Macaca fascicularis: one gene and its partners. The protein of the gene in region 4 interacts with the protein of the main gene of each other region in a biochemical or structural test. Links are inferred from orthologs where the notes say so. Each region holds a gene or a part of one and is shown on either strand. Other genes may lie near its edges.

What was found.
Region 1: the proteins of SNCA (region 4) and VAMP2 form a complex in vitro, tested with the Homo sapiens proteins (3 studies listed by BioGRID and IntAct). The link is inferred for Macaca fascicularis from reciprocal best matches to the Homo sapiens genes SNCA and VAMP2.
Region 2: of the proteins of SNCA (region 4) and FYN, one has a biochemical effect on the other in vitro, tested with the Homo sapiens proteins (3 studies listed by BioGRID). The link is inferred for Macaca fascicularis from reciprocal best matches to the Homo sapiens genes SNCA and FYN.
Region 3: the proteins of SNCA (region 4) and SNCAIP form a complex in vitro, tested with the Homo sapiens proteins (3 studies listed by BioGRID and IntAct, with this or other methods). The link is inferred for Macaca fascicularis from reciprocal best matches to the Homo sapiens genes SNCA and SNCAIP.

What each region holds. Positions count from the first base shown.
Region 1 is NC_088390.1:8,246,499-8,250,472, reverse strand, and holds the start of VAMP2 (vesicle-associated membrane protein 2), read left to right. Parts: upstream 1-1,167; 5' UTR 1,168-1,246; coding exon 1,247-1,248; intron 1,249-1,763; coding exon 1,764-1,884; intron 1,885-2,367; coding exon 2,368-2,526; intron 2,527-2,609; coding exon 2,610-2,661; intron 2,662-3,269; coding exon 3,270-3,286; 3' UTR 3,287-3,974. UniProt on the Homo sapiens protein: Involved in the targeting and/or fusion of transport vesicles to their target membrane. Major SNARE protein of synaptic vesicles which mediates fusion of synaptic vesicles to release neurotransmitters.
Region 2 is NC_088378.1:15,922,005-15,926,132, reverse strand, and holds the start of FYN (tyrosine-protein kinase Fyn), read left to right. Parts: upstream 1-1,321; 5' UTR 1,322-1,798; intron 1,799-4,128. UniProt on the Homo sapiens protein: Non-receptor tyrosine-protein kinase that plays a role in many biological processes including regulation of cell growth and survival, cell adhesion, integrin-mediated signaling, cytoskeletal remodeling, cell motility, immune response and axon guidance.
Region 3 is NC_088380.1:128,907,252-128,911,508, forward strand, and holds the start of SNCAIP (synphilin-1), read left to right. Parts: upstream 1-1,450; 5' UTR 1,451-1,535; coding exon of another isoform or gene 1,536-2,483; exon of another isoform or gene 2,484-2,818; intron 2,819-4,257. Other genes in the region: uncharacterized protein, read right to left, coding at 1,536-2,483. UniProt on the Homo sapiens protein: Isoform 2 inhibits the ubiquitin ligase activity of SIAH1 and inhibits proteasomal degradation of target proteins. Isoform 2 inhibits autoubiquitination and proteasomal degradation of SIAH1, and thereby increases cellular levels of SIAH.
Region 4 is NC_088379.1:95,364,109-95,367,618, reverse strand, and holds part of SNCA (alpha-synuclein), read left to right. Parts: intron 1-2,152; coding exon 2,153-2,295; intron 2,296-3,510. UniProt on the Homo sapiens protein: Neuronal protein that plays several roles in synaptic activity such as regulation of synaptic vesicle trafficking and subsequent neurotransmitter release.

The sequences.
Region 1 (3,974 bases), on a different chromosome or scaffold from region 4:
GAGGGCCTAATGGAGATAGGGATAATCTTCCATGTTATCCACATCAAGCCATTTAACGAATATGGATTTAGTATCTACATATGCAATGTATTTGGGGTCCAGAGAGAGGACGGCAACTGTCCAAGGTCACACCTGCGAGGCGAATACGCATGTAAAGCAGCACCTTGTAAACTGTACCCACTGTGCCTACTACTAAAGAAAAAAAAATGAGAGAGAAAAAAGCCTTTTGGTCCCTGTGCCTGGGACCAAAGCCTGAGCCCTCTCCTGCAGTTGGGGTCGCTGACCCAAGCCTGGGGCAAAGCTAGGTCTTGGCCAGTCAGCAGCCACCACGTGAAGCAGCCCCTGCCCCCATCAGCCCCGGCTGCCTTGTGCCCTCCTCCTCGGGGTCTTCAGCTCACCCCACCTCAGTCGGGCCTGCTCCAGCTGTTAAGTACCCCTGGTCTGAACCTCAATCGTGAGGCGGGGCACCCCCCTCCTCACACCCTGTAGACACTCCCCGGTCCTCCACCCCCGGGACTTGTTTCGGCAGGAAGAGCCTGCCTCATCTTTTCTTCCCACCCTCCTACCCAGTGGCCTGGGATCGCAGGCTTCCTCTGAGACATCCACCAGCGGGGTGATGGGTTGAGACCAACCTCCTCCACTCCCCTCCACCCTAGCAGCAGGGTCCCCGCTCTCGATATTGCCCCAGCGCCTGTACTGGCCCTCTCTGATTTCCCAACCCCAGCCCATTCCCAGTGCTGAAGGCGGGTCGCTAGGTGCTGGGACCTGGGCGCGGGGCGAGACCTTGGGCTGTGTGGGATGCAGGCTGGCTTATTGGGTTCACGATTCAGGGAGTGGTCTGGGGGTTAGGTGCGGGGCCAGGCTGCTGTGTGCCCTAAGGGGCAGGTGGCAAGAGGTTTGGGGGCGGCTGTGGAAGGCTGTGCTCAGACAGGGCGGGGTGACGGTGGGTTTAGGGAAGCCGCAGCAACCCGCCTGGTGGTCCCGTGAGTGCCCAGAGAGCTGCCGGGGCACGGTGGCGCCAGACCCGCAGTCCCGCCGGGCACGACCCCAGTCCCGCAGCGCCCCGCCCCCGCGGCCCCGCTCCCGACGCGTCGCCCGCGGCGCCCCGCCCCCGCCCGCAGTGCCCGGATGCGGGTGACGCGCGGCCGCCATCTTTCCGTCCCGGGCAGCCAGCGCCAGTCGGAGCCAGCGCGAGTTGCCGCCGCCATCACTGCTGCTGCCAAGTCCTCCACCCGCTGCCCCCACCATGTGAGTCGGCCGCCCGCCACCCTCACCGCGCTTCCCTGCACCGGCCGCCGCCCTTGGCAACCGGCCGTGGGGAGTGCCCGGGGTCTCTCCCGCGTTCCCCGCGCCCCGGGGCCAGGCCCAAGCCGGTGACTGCGCGCGGGCGGCCGAGAAGCCCAGCGTCTCGGGCTGGCCGGCTCGAGCGATGGCCGCAGGAAGGAGCGGACCCTGTGTCCTCCTGCCGCGCCCCGCCCCTGTCACCGCGGCCGCCTGTCTTTTCGGGTCGACCCCGATCACATCTGTGAGGTCGCCCTCATTTGACAGGCGGGGAAACTGAGGCCGGGGGGAGGGGAGGCCTCGCTCAAGGTCACGCAGCTCATCGGTGGCGAGGCTGGACCTGGACCAGGGCTTCCATCGGGTGGCCTTCCTCCCGAAAAGGAGGACTGGAGGGACGAGGATGGACAGGTGGATGGGCGGAGCCCTGGCTGCAGGGCCGGGAGACTGCAGGCCCTGGGTCTTAATCCGTCCCTGCTCCTCAGGTCTGCTACCGCTGCCACGGCCCCCCCTGCCGCCCCGGCTGGGGAGGGTGGCCCCCCTGCACCCCCTCCAAACCTCACCAGTAACAGGAGACTGCAGCAGACCCAGGCCCAGGTGGATGAGGTGAGTGTGGGGGGAGTCAAAAGCAGTAGAAAGGACCCTGGGGGTTGGCGTTTAGGTGTAGGGGCCCATGTTGGTTTGGGAGTGATGACAGTTCACGCCTGTGGGTTTGCGGACAAAGATACCTTGCCCCATCCGTGTCTCCCTGTCAGCACGCACTTGGAAGGGTGCTGGGGGTGTTAATCAGCTTTGCTAGCCTGGGGTGTGCCAGCCTAGGCAGGTGTGCTCTGGTGATGGACAGAGCGCCTGAGGCGCCATAGAGGGAGGGTGTTGCTATGATATCTGAGATGTCACCAGTAATCCCCTGATGTGTGCTCCTTGCATGTCCCCAGGTGTGCTAGGCATGTACTGTGTGTGTCCTTGGCATGTTAACCTGGCAGCATCAGGGTGCATGTTCCATGTGTGGCACGGTGGGCACATGTTTGAGGATTACCCTCATGAGGTGGGCCTTGGCACACCCCCTTGCCCCGTGGGCCCTTCTCCCAGGTGGTGGACATCATGAGGGTGAACGTGGACAAGGTCCTGGAGCGGGACCAGAAGCTGTCGGAGCTGGACGACCGTGCAGATGCACTCCAGGCAGGGGCCTCCCAGTTTGAAACAAGTGCAGCCAAGCTCAAGCGCAAATACTGGTGGAAAAACCTCAAGGTAAGGATGGGGACAGGAAGGAGGACTGGCGGGTGAATGGGGTATCATAGTTAGTCTCGCTGATCCTCTCCTCTCACCCCCAGATGATGATCATCTTGGGAGTGATTTGCGCCATCATCCTCATCATCATCATAGGTGAGTAGGCTGGCAATGGCCGGGGCCCTTTCCCTGGAGAGGTTTCCCCAGTGGATTCTGGGTTTTGAAGGTCATTAACCTAGTTTTTACTCTTCAGCCAAAAACACATATAGCTGCTAATGGCAATTCTGATTCACCTAGAGCCAAAAACTTTGATGTTATTTAGCCTGCATTTTGCCTGGTTCTTGGCAGTTTTGTTAACATTTAGAAATATAAAAGTTGGTGTATCCATTGAGGACCCTTTGGGCCTAAGAGCCCAATCTGAGAGCCCTGGAATTGAGGAGTGGGAGAAAGGAAAGGCCCAGGGGCTTGAGACATGACCAGGAAGCCAACCACCCCATTATTTGAGAGCTTGTGGCCTCAGGCTCAGAGGATTAGGGTATGTGGCCTCAAGGCCATACCATGGAACTGAAGGGACCTCATAACCTACCTGTCTAACCCCTTGCTTTGTAGATGGAGAAACTGAGTCCAAGAGAGGGGTAGGGGTGCCAGCCAGCTGGGGAGTGGGGAGGATTGGAGCAGGGCCAGGCCTGACACACTGCTTTCTTTCTTTCTCCCTCTCTCCCTCCCCTCTCCCTCTTCCTCATCTTCTTCCCCTCTCTCCACAGTTTACTTCAGCACTTAAATCCCTGAGGAGTCTGCCCTGCCTAAAGAAGGGCCTCTCCCCCCACCCTCAGCCGTTCCTCCACCTCTCAGCCATATCTTTCAGCCCCCCTTCCCTGGATCCGTGCGTGTGTGTGTCCGTGTGTGTGTCCCCCTGTAAATAGCCAGCTGTTATTTATACATATATAATATTATATATATTTGGTCTGTTTGTAGTTTTATTACTAGAAGATTTTTCTGGTTGTCCTTAACACCCCTTCCTGAGGTTCCCTTCACCTCCTCTCTCTTGCCTGCCTTCCCTTTCCCTTTCTTCCTGACTAGCCCCAAGTCCCTTCATTTGCATCTGCTATGCAATAGTCCCTCTCCTCTCCTTCTTCTTCCCTCAGATTTAGCTGATCCTTCCCCCCACCCTGGCCTTCCTTTCCTCCTCCCTCTCCCGGTCATGCTCCCTCTGCCCCGCCCTCAAAAAAGACCACAAAAAACAAAAAGCATCTGTCCAGGCTTCCTTAGGTGCATCTTGTTTGCATCCAATGGGAGGCTCTGAGACTGGCCCCACTTGGTCCTAAGAATCCCAAGGTCTTTGGGAGTGTCCAGCATGTTAAGTAGCGTATCATTACATACTGCCATCCCTTTCCATTTCTTTTTGTTCCATCACTCTTCTCTCAACTGGTGTTTCTTTTTTTACTGAGGAGTTAGTCCCCATTAGTCCT
Region 2 (4,128 bases), on a different chromosome or scaffold from region 4:
CTAGAGTTAGTTACTTAACTTCTCTTTTCCTCAGTTTCCTCCTCCATAGGATGCAGATCATGTAATAAATATTAGCAACTTTTCTTAAAAAGTAGGGTGCACAAAAAGAAAAAAGTCAGCAAAAGGGACTGATTTTTAAAACTTAATTAAAAGCAAGTAGTGGGCCGGAAAGGCAATATTATAGATTTTTGAGCACAGAAGCAGAAGCTGATTCACTTATAATTTCTTAGAACATTAGATTTGCTGAGGGGGAAAGGTAGGGTTCTTGCCAAAATCATTAAGGAGAGCGATTCTGAGTATGCCTTAAAGCAGAACTTTCAGTAAACAGGAATTACCTATAAAGAAAATCAGGAAGCCAAAGTGTTTCTTTTCATGAAGTTACATCCTGCCATAGAAAAGCTGGATAGGAAATAAAGACCGATGCACTCCCAACTGTATACTAAACCGGCAATTATTTCATCAAGGGAAATCTGAGCAAAAGCTCAGATTCTGTGAAGGGGAAAAAAAACATGAGAGGTTTGAATGTCATAAGAAACCAAAGACAACCAATGGCTACAATTAAACAAGGTTTTTTTGTGGGGGGAAATGTACGAACAAATCTCTGTGATTTCAGGTTCTTTAGTCGCTGCTCGCCCCTCCCCCCATTTCAGTAATACTTCCTCTAGACTTTTGCTAGAAAAGAAATATAAATAAGTGTCTCCAGAAACAGGGGACTGATAAAATGATCCTAATCTCCTTCTCCTCCTCATTGTTATTTGTTGTGCGTTTCCACGTTTCAGTGACAGGATTCTACTTTGTTCGCTACTCTTTTCAGTTTGATCAAAGAAAACGCTGCTATCACCGTCCAAACAATTTTCCATTTCATCCTCTCACCCTCAAATGAAAAGACACCAGAAAGGCAAGATAGCCCTGTCTCGAGGCAGGTTCCCATGGTTTGGGGGGAATGGCAGGTGTCAATCTGCAGCAGCAGCTGCAACCTTCCGCAAAGCAGAAACTGCAGTTCACACTTTCCGCTCTTTCTCCCGCCCTACTCCGCCACCTCACAACTCCACACAATCCTTAAAAACACACAGACCTCCTCCTCCAACCTCGCATCCTCTTGCACACCCTGCACCGCACGCACCCTGGGATGCCCGCTGCCACAGTAACGCTCAACCCACTCGGCGGCCCCACCCACTGCCGTCCCGCCCACGCCCCAGGCGCCAATGGTTGAGGCCCGCAGCTCCCAAGGGGCTCCTTGATAGGGCAGCGGGGCCTGTCACTCTCGGGGCGCACCCCGCCCCCTCCTCGCTCCCCTCCGGAGCTGGAGGGGCCGAGCATCAGCAAGAGTAGCAGCGAGCAGCCGCGGTGGTGGCGGCGGCGCGTCGTTGCAGTTGCGCCATCTGTCAGGAGCGGAGCCGGCGAGGAGGGGGCTGCCGCGGGCGAGGAGGAGGGGTCGCCGCGAGCCGAAGGCCTTCGAGACCCGCCCGCCGGCCGGCGGCGAGAGTAGAGGCGAGGTTGCCCTGCGAGCGGCGCGTCCTCTCCCGCCCGGGCGCGCCGCGCTTCTCCCGGCGCACCGAGGACCGCCCGGGCGCACACAAAGCCGCCGCCCGCGTCGCACCGCCCGGCGGCCGCCGCCCGCGCCAGGGAGGGATCCGGCCGCCGGGCCGGGGACACCCCGGCGCCGCCCCCTCCGTGCTCTCGGAAGGCCCACCGGCTCCTGGGCCCGCCGGGGAGCTCCCGGAGCCGCCTCGGCCGCGCCGGAGGAGGGCGGGGAGAGGACCATGTGAATGGGCTCCGGAGCCTGAGCGCCGCGCAGGTAAGCAGGCGGCGGGGATGCGCCGCGGGAGGCCTCGGGGATGCTGCGGAGACGCCCGGCCGCCGGCGCCCCCGCGCACGCCGCCCCCGCCGCGGGGCCCGGCGCTGCGGTCCCTCGGCCGCCGGGGCGCCCCGCGGGGCTGCTGGGGAGTCGGCGCTCGGGGTCTTCCCGTGGCTGCACGCGAGGACACCCCTGCGGGGTGCGGCTCCGAGGCGGCGCGGGGATGGGGGCCCCATTTCCTCGCCCGCAAGCGGGCGCCGAGTGAAAATTGGAATTGGCTTGGGGGTGAGGCTGGCCCAGACTCCGCCCCCGCCCTCCTTTCGGGGCCCCCAGCGGGGACTGGGGCTGTGTGTGTTGTTTTAATGTCAGGGGTGATGTAATCACTTAATAATTGATGCCCCGTGCTGCTTCCCTCCCCACCCAACCCCTGCCCCACTCCTCCACCTCTCGGCCTCCTCCCTCGGCGGCGGTCGCCTTCTCCAACCCATCCTCCTGCCTATTTCTGGCACCTCCCTTGCACTTCCCCCATCCTCTCCTTCACTCTTCCTGTGCCACCACCCACCCACCCTTCCCCTTTCCCCTGTGCTAGAGCCTTTCCTTCTCTTCCTCTGTCCCTCACCCCTCTGCTCCCTCCAGCTCCTTTCTCCTTCCTTTCCGGCTCCCTCTCTGGATTTCCTCTCTACTTCCCTAGATCCATGGCTGTTTTTGTTTGGGCTCCTCCCCTCTCTTATCTCTGCGGCCACAGGCGGAGGGGACTGGGCCAGAAGGAGGCCACCGAGCTTGGGCCCAGGGAGAGATGTGCTGGGACTCACTGGGAAGATGGATAATAAAATCACCCTTCTTGCCCCTCCTTCCCCCAATAAATCACACAGACTCGCCGGGTGTGTGTGTGTGAGTGTGAGTGTGACACAAAGAGCCCTTTCAGTGCATAGAAAGGAGACACACAAAGTACCCTAGGATAGGCACGATGCTTCTTGTCTCTCCTCCCTGGGGCTTCCCTTTCTTTCCCATGAAGCAGTTGGTCTCTCTGAGTCTTTCCTGCCACATTTACCAAAAAATAAAAGAACCCCCAGATGCCGGGTGGCAGGTGTCGGCATTTTGCTGTGTTCACAGACCAGTAGTGTTGACTGGCAGCTGCAGTGTTTCTTAGATTTAAGGGGACAATTATTCCAGCAGTCTTAAGAGTTGCTTTACTTTTAAGGTAGCCTCCCTATCCCTATTCTTTCCCCTCTTCTTTTGGGGACAAGTACTAAGAGCTGGGGTAGAGTAAATTGGTGTGGGGGTCACAGGAATTTTGTTTCTGAATCAGAATTAAATTGGTATTTGATAAGGGGGAGGCAACCTGACTGGCTTCTTCTATCAAGTCTAAGAGGTCACTGTGCTGATGTCTTTTGAAATGAAATCCTGTCAGCCCAGTGATGTTGTTTTACCCTTTTATTGACCCTTTTATTGAAGTAAATACCTGGGGACGTGGATAAAACGGTCTAGAGTTAGCATTTGGAAGACCACTGCAGACTGTCTTTTGCCTGCTTCAAGGTAGTCTTGGGACGCCCACTTCCTTTCTCACCACCCAAGCAACTGCAATACTTTCCACCCTTTGTACTGTCTTCTTCCCCAGTCCCTGCTCCATGGTTACCCTGTGTTCAGATAAAGGGACTCGCAGACTTTTGGAGGAAGTGGTTTAACTATATGAGGCTTTGGGGCCACTTGGCTATGAACTGGGGCTGTAGAGAGTCTTGACTGAAGTCTAAACCATCTGATGTTCTTTTTAAGGAGGAAATGTTAATGTAAATCTGGGGGCTTAATGTTCCGTTTTGTAAACTAGTGACTATTACACGCTTAATCGATATTGTCAAAACTTAAGTGAAACCCGTTCTTCCCTAAAAGTATGGCTCCTCGACTATTATAAGTAACAGAACTGTAGGTTTCTTTTTCAGTAATTTTATTAGAAAAGAGTTATGATTCGTGAAACATTTACTTATGTGCTTTTTAAGAACATTAATCGTGGAGCTTTTTACATTAAAAAAAGCAATAGGGTTAATGAGTGTACTGTGAAAACAAAGGGTCGTTTGTTTGATGCCGGACCCAGGAAGGAAAGCCAGAGCACATAAACTCGCACTCTGTTGACCAAGTTTGAGAGACTTAATGATAAGGTTGAATGTGAGCAAATGCACACTCTGTTTTCTCCTGGGTCTGCAATCTCTAACCCCATCTGACTTCCTTGAAGTCGTTTTTAACCTTTGGCGCCCAACTCAAATGTCATCTCCTCTGTGAAGCCGTTTCCATCTTCTCCTTTCCAAACAAATCATCATATTTTGGTTTCAAACTTT
Region 3 (4,257 bases), on a different chromosome or scaffold from region 4:
AACACCTGGCTCGACCAGAGCTAATGAATATTTAGGACAGTTGGAAGGAGATGACCATTTATAATTCTTCAGTAAATGAATCCTTCAATAAATTAAAATGATTTTCAAAAACAGGGTGTCAAAATATTTAAGAGAATGGAAATAAAGTATGTTCTCTGTAGATCATGTCAAGGGTGACACCAATCCCATCCATATCTACTGGATGAAAGCAAGATGTGCTTTTCTCAAAATTTACACTAGGCAAAAAAAAAAAAAAAAAGGCAGTTTTATTTTAACCAGATGTGAACAAATCAAACCCAATATTTTCAAGTATTTTTAGTGCCACATGATGTCATCCAATTTTATATTTTCTACTGGGGGATAATGTGTATTTTTAAAATTGTGAAGCCACTTTCCATGTATGTACTTAAGTCTTACGATAAATTACAATAAACAAATTACAACAGCACAGGACATGATCTTGGCTGTTTATGTCAACAGCCAAGAAAGACATTTAGGTTTCAGTAGGAAATGGAATTAGACACATGTGAAATGTCTTCCGCTGGCATTCAAGGTAGTCCTCATTTCAGTGACGATGGTCCTGGTCCAAACAGGTCCAGGGCAAGCATTACTCTGCCTATGCCCTCCTAGTACAGCGCAGCCTGTGGACTCCACAAAGACTGAAGGCAGTCTTAGGCTAGTTATTCAGGAAACCCCAGCTTTAAACAACCAGAGCCTTCCTTTTTTGTTGTAACAAGATCACACATCCCCATTGCTACTACCCAGATAGTGCCGGGTGTCCCAGGATCTTGGCACTGCTCTTGTCCTCTGGAACTGGCAAGGGAATGAAGATGCCTCTAAACTGACCAAGACTTACTTCCTCACGCTTTTCTCTGGGGCAGCATCAGGCAAGCAGTCATACCCTGGAACAAGAGTGTGGTCCTCAATGGCTTTGCTGAGTGAACTTCTCCGAGTCATCTCGCCTGGGAAAGAGATTTCTCAAAGATCATTTAAAGCTTTCCAGAGGGCAACAGCAAGACAGTCGTGAGCCAAGGTTACCATAAATGCTTCCACAACCCCTGATTTCATTTCGGAAATAAGGAAAGAAGTAGTCAGCACTGCAGGCGTTGCTGACTCCTCATCCAGCAGCCTCCCACCCCCAATCCCTCAACAATTAAGATACAATAAAAGTAAAGTTAATATTACTGTAGGGCCATTGGTACATTGAAACGTCGTTGAATTAAAAAGTCTTTATTTCAGCCCAAGATCTTCTCCATCCACCCACACTTGAGCACAGAACATTCCAGGCAGGCAAAGCCACCCGTGCCCTCCTCTCCTTGGCCACGTCCTCAGGGGTGGGCGAGCTTCGGGGAGAGGGGTGGGGGTGACGACTCCGTGCCAACGCAAAATACTCTGCCAAAAGGCTTCTCAGACACGAGTTTCCCAGGGCCATGCCCACCTTCCGTTCCCCGCCTTCCTGAGTCTCTTCTCCCGGTTTATGCTGGAACCCTGGAATGGTCTGGGGACCAATGAGATGGCAGCGGTTGACGCTTGGATCACGGTGAGGGGGCGATTTCCAGGGGGAGAGGCCGCGAAGCAAGGAAGGGGGGGCAGGAGGAGAAAAGTGGGAAGCGGGGACAAAAAGTAGGCGGGGAGGAGAGGAGAGCCCCAGTTGGGGAAAAGCAACGGCAGTCGAGGTAAAAAGAGCGAAAGGTAAAGAAAGAGCAGGTTCGTGAACAGGAGCCGGCGGGCAGGCCGGGGGATCCCGGGCGAGGAAGCGGCGAGGGAGGGGCGTGGGCCGGGCCGGGGGCCCAGCGGGGAGGGTCACTGTCAGTCAGGCTGAGCTGGGCTCGCTGGCCGGGGGGCGGCCGCAGGGGCGCAGCGCAGCCTGAGGGCGCGGCAGCCCCAGCAGCCTCGGCAGTGGCAGTGGTGGCCGCGCCCCCGTCCCCGGCCGGGCGCCCGCGCTGCGTTCCGCGTACCCCAGCGCCGGTTCCGGCCGGCGGCCGCCCAGGCTGCCCCCGCCCGCGCGCGCCCGTTGGGGGGCCCAGGGAGCTGCGCCCGCGGCCGGGCCGCATTGTGACGTAGCGGGGCCGCGGCAGCGCCTCCGCCGCTCGCCTGCTCCCGCCGAGGCTGTTCTGCTCCCGCCGCCGCAGTCCGTCCGTCGGTCTGTCAGTCCCTTCGCGCTCCTGAGCCGCCGGCGCGCGTGGCGCCCCGGGTGAGTCCAGGTCCCAAACGGACCCCGCGGGGAGGCGGGGGGCGAGGAGCTGGCGGCTCAGCCTTTCCAAGTTTGCACCAGGCGACCCTGGCGGGTGTCGCCCCGTGCTCCCCAAGCCCGGGGCCCCCTTTGTGCCGCGAGTCTCGGCTGCTTGGGACAGCAGAGGCGTCTCTGCAGAAAGGGTTTGGGGGGAGGTCTCTATAGTAACAGTGGTGGCGGCAGCGGCTGTTTTACTGGGGAAAGGGGGAAACAACCCCCGCCTCGGTTTCCAAAGGATTGTTCTTTTCATTTGCCTGCCTCATGTGGTTCTTATTCTTGCTGCCACCCGGGATCGTATCGCAGGCAGGGATGGGCAGTGCCGCGGCTCGGAAGAGCTGAGGTAAGGAGGGGCGAAGTAATAGTAATAGCGACGGTACTAACAACGGTAGCAATAGCTGTAGAAGAGGGACGTCTGGTGTTGCTGCCGCCCCTCGCTCATCAGCACGGGCTCCCCGACTGCCCTGTCCAGCCCGGGCTCCGTCAGCCTCCCTCTAATGCTGTCCTGCGTCCCAGGCTGGTCCGCGTCAATTTCAGCGGGGACTGTTTCTCTCTTGGCCTTCTCTCTTGGCGATGACTTTCATCTGCAGGTGGTAAGTAGGGTGAACCCAATTTTGGCTATTGTCAAAGGCCACATTTTGTTTATTTCATTTTTACGAAAAGAAAAGAGGGAAAATTATGAGCCATTACTGGCAGCCATACAGTTTCCACAGGAAATACTAGCATTCTTTGAGGAACACGCTACTGCTTGCAGCGAAGAAAGTCTTAGGAAACAAAAAGGCAACAGCATTGTTGCTCATTTTCAATGGACCTCTAGGAGGGGGGAAACGTGTTGTTTTTTCCTGTGGTAACGTTGCTTTCCTTGGGAAAGTTAATTAAGGAAGCATTACTGTCGGTGCCCCTTTTTCACTTGCTGGAGGCAGGGTCCGATTCCTCTTGGCTGTTACTGACAAGTGCCCATCAAAGAGCCCAGAGGAAGAGAGAACTGCTGCAGGACAGTCTCGCCACACACCACGTGCCGTGGAGCCTGGCCAGGGTGCAGTTTGCAAAATGAAATAAGGGCTGTCTGGGGAGGTTTATGAGGATTACATGTGTGCAAAGTATGTCAGTTCTCCAAGGTGTCACTCTAAACACGTAATTTTCAAGCACTACTTTCGTTGCTGAATCTGCAGGAAGGGAAAAACCTAGTTTTCTTTTATGGAGCAGACATCTCAATTGGGAATGGGTTGAAATCTGTATTTCATTTGTACATATTGAAAATTTAAAAGGCAAAGAACAAGGTGTAGGAAAGCAGTATGCTAATGTGTACACATCTGGGAGAGAAAGTCTGTTGGCTGTTTCTAATGCATCTCAATGTTAAATTACATTCAGCATGGTTAGAGTACAAGGAGACACCTTTAAGGAGTCCTCAAGACTATTTGAAAGGTGCTGTATTTTGGTACTGATCGCGGAAGTCTCTCTAGAAAGGGAGTATTAACTGAGGATTACCCATAACTAAATATGTATGCATTAACAGGTCTGGAATCAGAAAGTAGAAGATAGTGCTTCTCTTAAGAATCTTTTGGACATCTCAGTTAGAATAAAATACAGAATGGGATTTTGAAAAGAAGGGGTATAATTTTGAGTATAAATTTCATTTTCTCCATAGCAAGCGTTTCATGACGAAAGGTTACAGATAGTAGATTTGAAATGATGCTGCATTCATGAATTTGACTGTTACCATTTGTTGATATCCAAAAGGAAGTGACTAAAGCAAATGCATTTCTCTGTCTACTTTGTCACAACTTTGCTAATTCCAGACAGTTGTTCTGGTGCAGGTGTACAGTGGAAATGCAAGCCAAGAAACTGTGTGTGCTATTGTTTTGGAAGAAATTGTAGCAGTACTTTACTGCTCTTAAGGGAAACCCACACAAACATCTAATACAAACAAATGATCCTTGATATTATCAGAAAAAGCCTGGAGCTGTTTTTCTTGCCAGATGTAAGGCATGTCTTGTCAAAAGAGGAAATCTCCCAAGGAGCAGGTG
Region 4 (3,510 bases):
GTTCAAGGTCAGCAGAGACCCTACTAGAGAAACCAGTTCTACAGAAATGTTTTTAAATGTGTCGATGATTGCTACCTGTATACTCTGTTATTTTGTCATGTAACCATTTTATTTATTATTATAATAATAAAAGAGTGAAATTATAATAATGTGCAGAGTACATTTTACTGTGCAGTGTATTGCATTAAAACTAGATTAAAATTTATACATCTATAAAAGGTTATCTAGATATTATAAAATTTATGGCTGGATCTGTAAAAAATTCAAAACCTATTTTTAATCTTGCTTCAAGATTTTATAACAAGAAAATGTTCATTTGAAGCAAAATTTTCAATTCTCGTCCTTGAAAACGAAAAAAATGACAACTTGAAACACATAATTGACTATTTTTAAAGGATCAACATTTCAGAAATGTTTTAAAACATAAAATTTTCAGTACAGCTTTTCACTGGCATTTAAATCGAACTTTGAATTGTAAATAGCTCTTACTCTTAAGGAGACATCAGCCATATCCTTAGAAATGGCACGGAGTTGGTAGGTAGTTGTACAAAATTCTAGCCTAAAAGACAAGTAGGGAGCAACAATACTGTGGACCCTTTCTGGTCTTGGGCTGTGTGGCTATGTCAGGCTTCCCCACATTGCCTGAACTAAGGAGAAAGCCTCTTGTCCTTACAGGCCCCTTAGCTTCTGTGACTTACATAGTCTATTTGAAAATGAATTGCTTTGTCCACACCATTTAACTATTGGCTTCTTCAACTGGTGAGATGAAACCTATACAATAATCATGTGACTAGCACGAAAGAGCTGACATGGTGTAACTCCTCTCAGACTGAGGCTTATCTGGGGAGTACAAATCATATCAAGAAAATGTGCCTTCATTTCCTTAGATGAGTGTCCCCATCCTCCACTCTCCTCCACTGTTCTCCTCTCTGCTTCTATGATACCAACTTTTTTTTTTTTTCTTTAGATTCCACATGAGTGAGATTATGTTGTGTTTGCCTTTCTGTTTCTGGCTTATTTCACTGAACAAGAAAATTTTTGACATGAAATTAAATTTCTGCCTATAAACTCAATTCAAACTGTTTACACTGTCTTCTCAAAAATGTTAACTTATTGTAATAAACCTACTGAATGACCGTATCACATTTTGTTTTGTGAAAACGAATTTTAAGGGTGCTCAATAGCCTCTTCATTTTCATACTGTCCAGCTCCTTTGCTCCTATTAAAATTACTGCAAGTTAGCTTTTAAGAACCCTATGTTTCACTACCTGAAGTTCTATAAAAAGATCCAAGTTCCTTCAAAACCATTTCTTATGCTGTCATTCATACATATGTGATAATACCGTGTCTGAACACACAGATAAGAAGTATGGGCTGGGTGCGGTGGGTCATGCCTGTAGTCCCAGCACTTTGGGAGGCCGAGGCAGGTGAACCACCTGAGGTTAGGAGTTCGAGACCAGCCTGGCCAACATGGTGAAACCCTGTTTCTACTAAAAATACAAAAAAAATTAGCCAGGCATGGTTATGGGCACCTGTAATCCCAGCTACTCAGGAGACTGCGGCAGGAGAATAGCTTGAACTCAGGAGGTGGGGATTGCAGTGAGCTGAGATTGTGCCATTGCACTCCAGCCTGGGCAACAAGAGTGAAACTCTATCTCAAATGAATGAATGAATGAATGAATGAATGAATGAATGAATGAATGAATAAATAAATAAATACAAGTATGTATTGTGTTGTTTAGAATGTGTGGTGGAAATGAACTTGCTGAGTGAGCTCAAAGGATTGGCACTGAATTGAAATAAAGAAATACTCATGTTGAGTCTGGTTCAACTATAACTGCACCTGTAAGAATTGCTTTCCTTAGTATAAAACAAATCCAAATCACTCATGGCTTTACATTCTGGATCATTAAACTTGAAGCACTTTTTAATACTGCATGACTTTAACAAAAATATCTTAGCCGAGATTCAATGTTTGGTTGAGCCACGCTCACTTGGACACCTTGGTTGCTTGTTTCTTCTGACCCCTCAGTTGTCTATGGCATGTGTAGATACAGGTGTATGGAAGTCGATGGCTAGTGGAAGTGGAATGATTTTAAGTCACTGTTATTCCACCACCCTTTAATCTGTTGTTGCTCTTGATTTGTACCAGTGGCTGAGAAGACCAAAGAGCAAGTGACAAATGTTGGAGGAGCGGTGGTGACGGGTGTGACAGCAGTAGCCCAGAAGACAGTGGAGGGAGCAGGGAACATTGCAGCAGCCACTGGCTTCATCAAAAAGGACCAGTTGGGCAAGGTACGGTGTGTACATTTTGTGCTACATTTATAAGCTGGTGAGATTATGGTTCATTTTCATGTGAGGCCTGGAGGCAGGAGCAGGACACTTACTGTGAGGAACAGCTACCTGACCCTCCCCTTGTGAAAATGTGCTACCTTTATATTGGTCTTGCTTGTTTCAGGCATTAACCCAGATAAATGCCATGCAAATTTTATAATTATCATGATTGTTTCAATTTCTAGAAGAAAGTTAATGAAATAAAAAATGTAGCAAAATGTCAAAGGAACAGTGACATTTCAAAAAGAATGAGGACTTTCATGTTAACTATAAGTCTTGGAATTTCTCTTCCTTGGAATAACAAATCTCTTTGTGCCTAATTTCTTAATTTCCAAAATAAAATTCTTTTACTTGATTTCTTTATAGTGACATCATCTCTTATTAAATGGCATATTTGCATATTACATAACAGTTCATTGCCAAATACATGTTTGTGAGAACTAAGAGGTTTAAAATATATACCAACCAGAGATCATAGTTTTGAGGTAGATTTTAAAATTCTGAGAAGAATTTTGACTGAATTTTTTTGACAAACATGGGGCACAAATAAGATTATACCAAAGATACTATAACTTTCATTTTAAATATGAAACTAATACGGTATGAGGTGTCAACAATGATGAAATTTTACAAATGTCACCACTACAACAGCAAAATGATTTTTGCTTTTTCCCTGTCTCCTTGCTATTTCTTGAATAAATCAAGCATACCCTTGCCCTGACACATTACTGGGGAGGCCTGCCTTAATCTATATAAAATTGGAGCCATTCTTCTCACCTCTGGTATTCTCAGTCTCCCTACTCTTTCTTTCTCCTTCCTTCCTACCTTCCTTCCTTCCTTCCTTCTTCCTTCCTTTTTCTTTCTTTCTTTTTTCCTTCCTTCCTTCCTTCTTCCTTCTCTCTTTTCCTTCCTTCCTTTCTTTCTCTTTCTTTCTTTCTTTCTTCCTTCCTTCCTTCCTTCCTTCCTTCCTTCCTTCCTTCCTTCCTTCCTTTCTTTCTTTCTTTCTTTCTTTCTTTCTTTCTTTCTTTCTCTTTCTTCCTTCCTTCCTTCCTTCCTTCCTCTTTCTCTTTCCCTTCCTTCCTTCTTTCCTTCCTTCCTTCCTTCCTTCCTTTGTTTTTCTTTCTTTCTTTGCCAAAGTGTTCTTCACCTTTAAATATAATAAATAATTTGCTTACT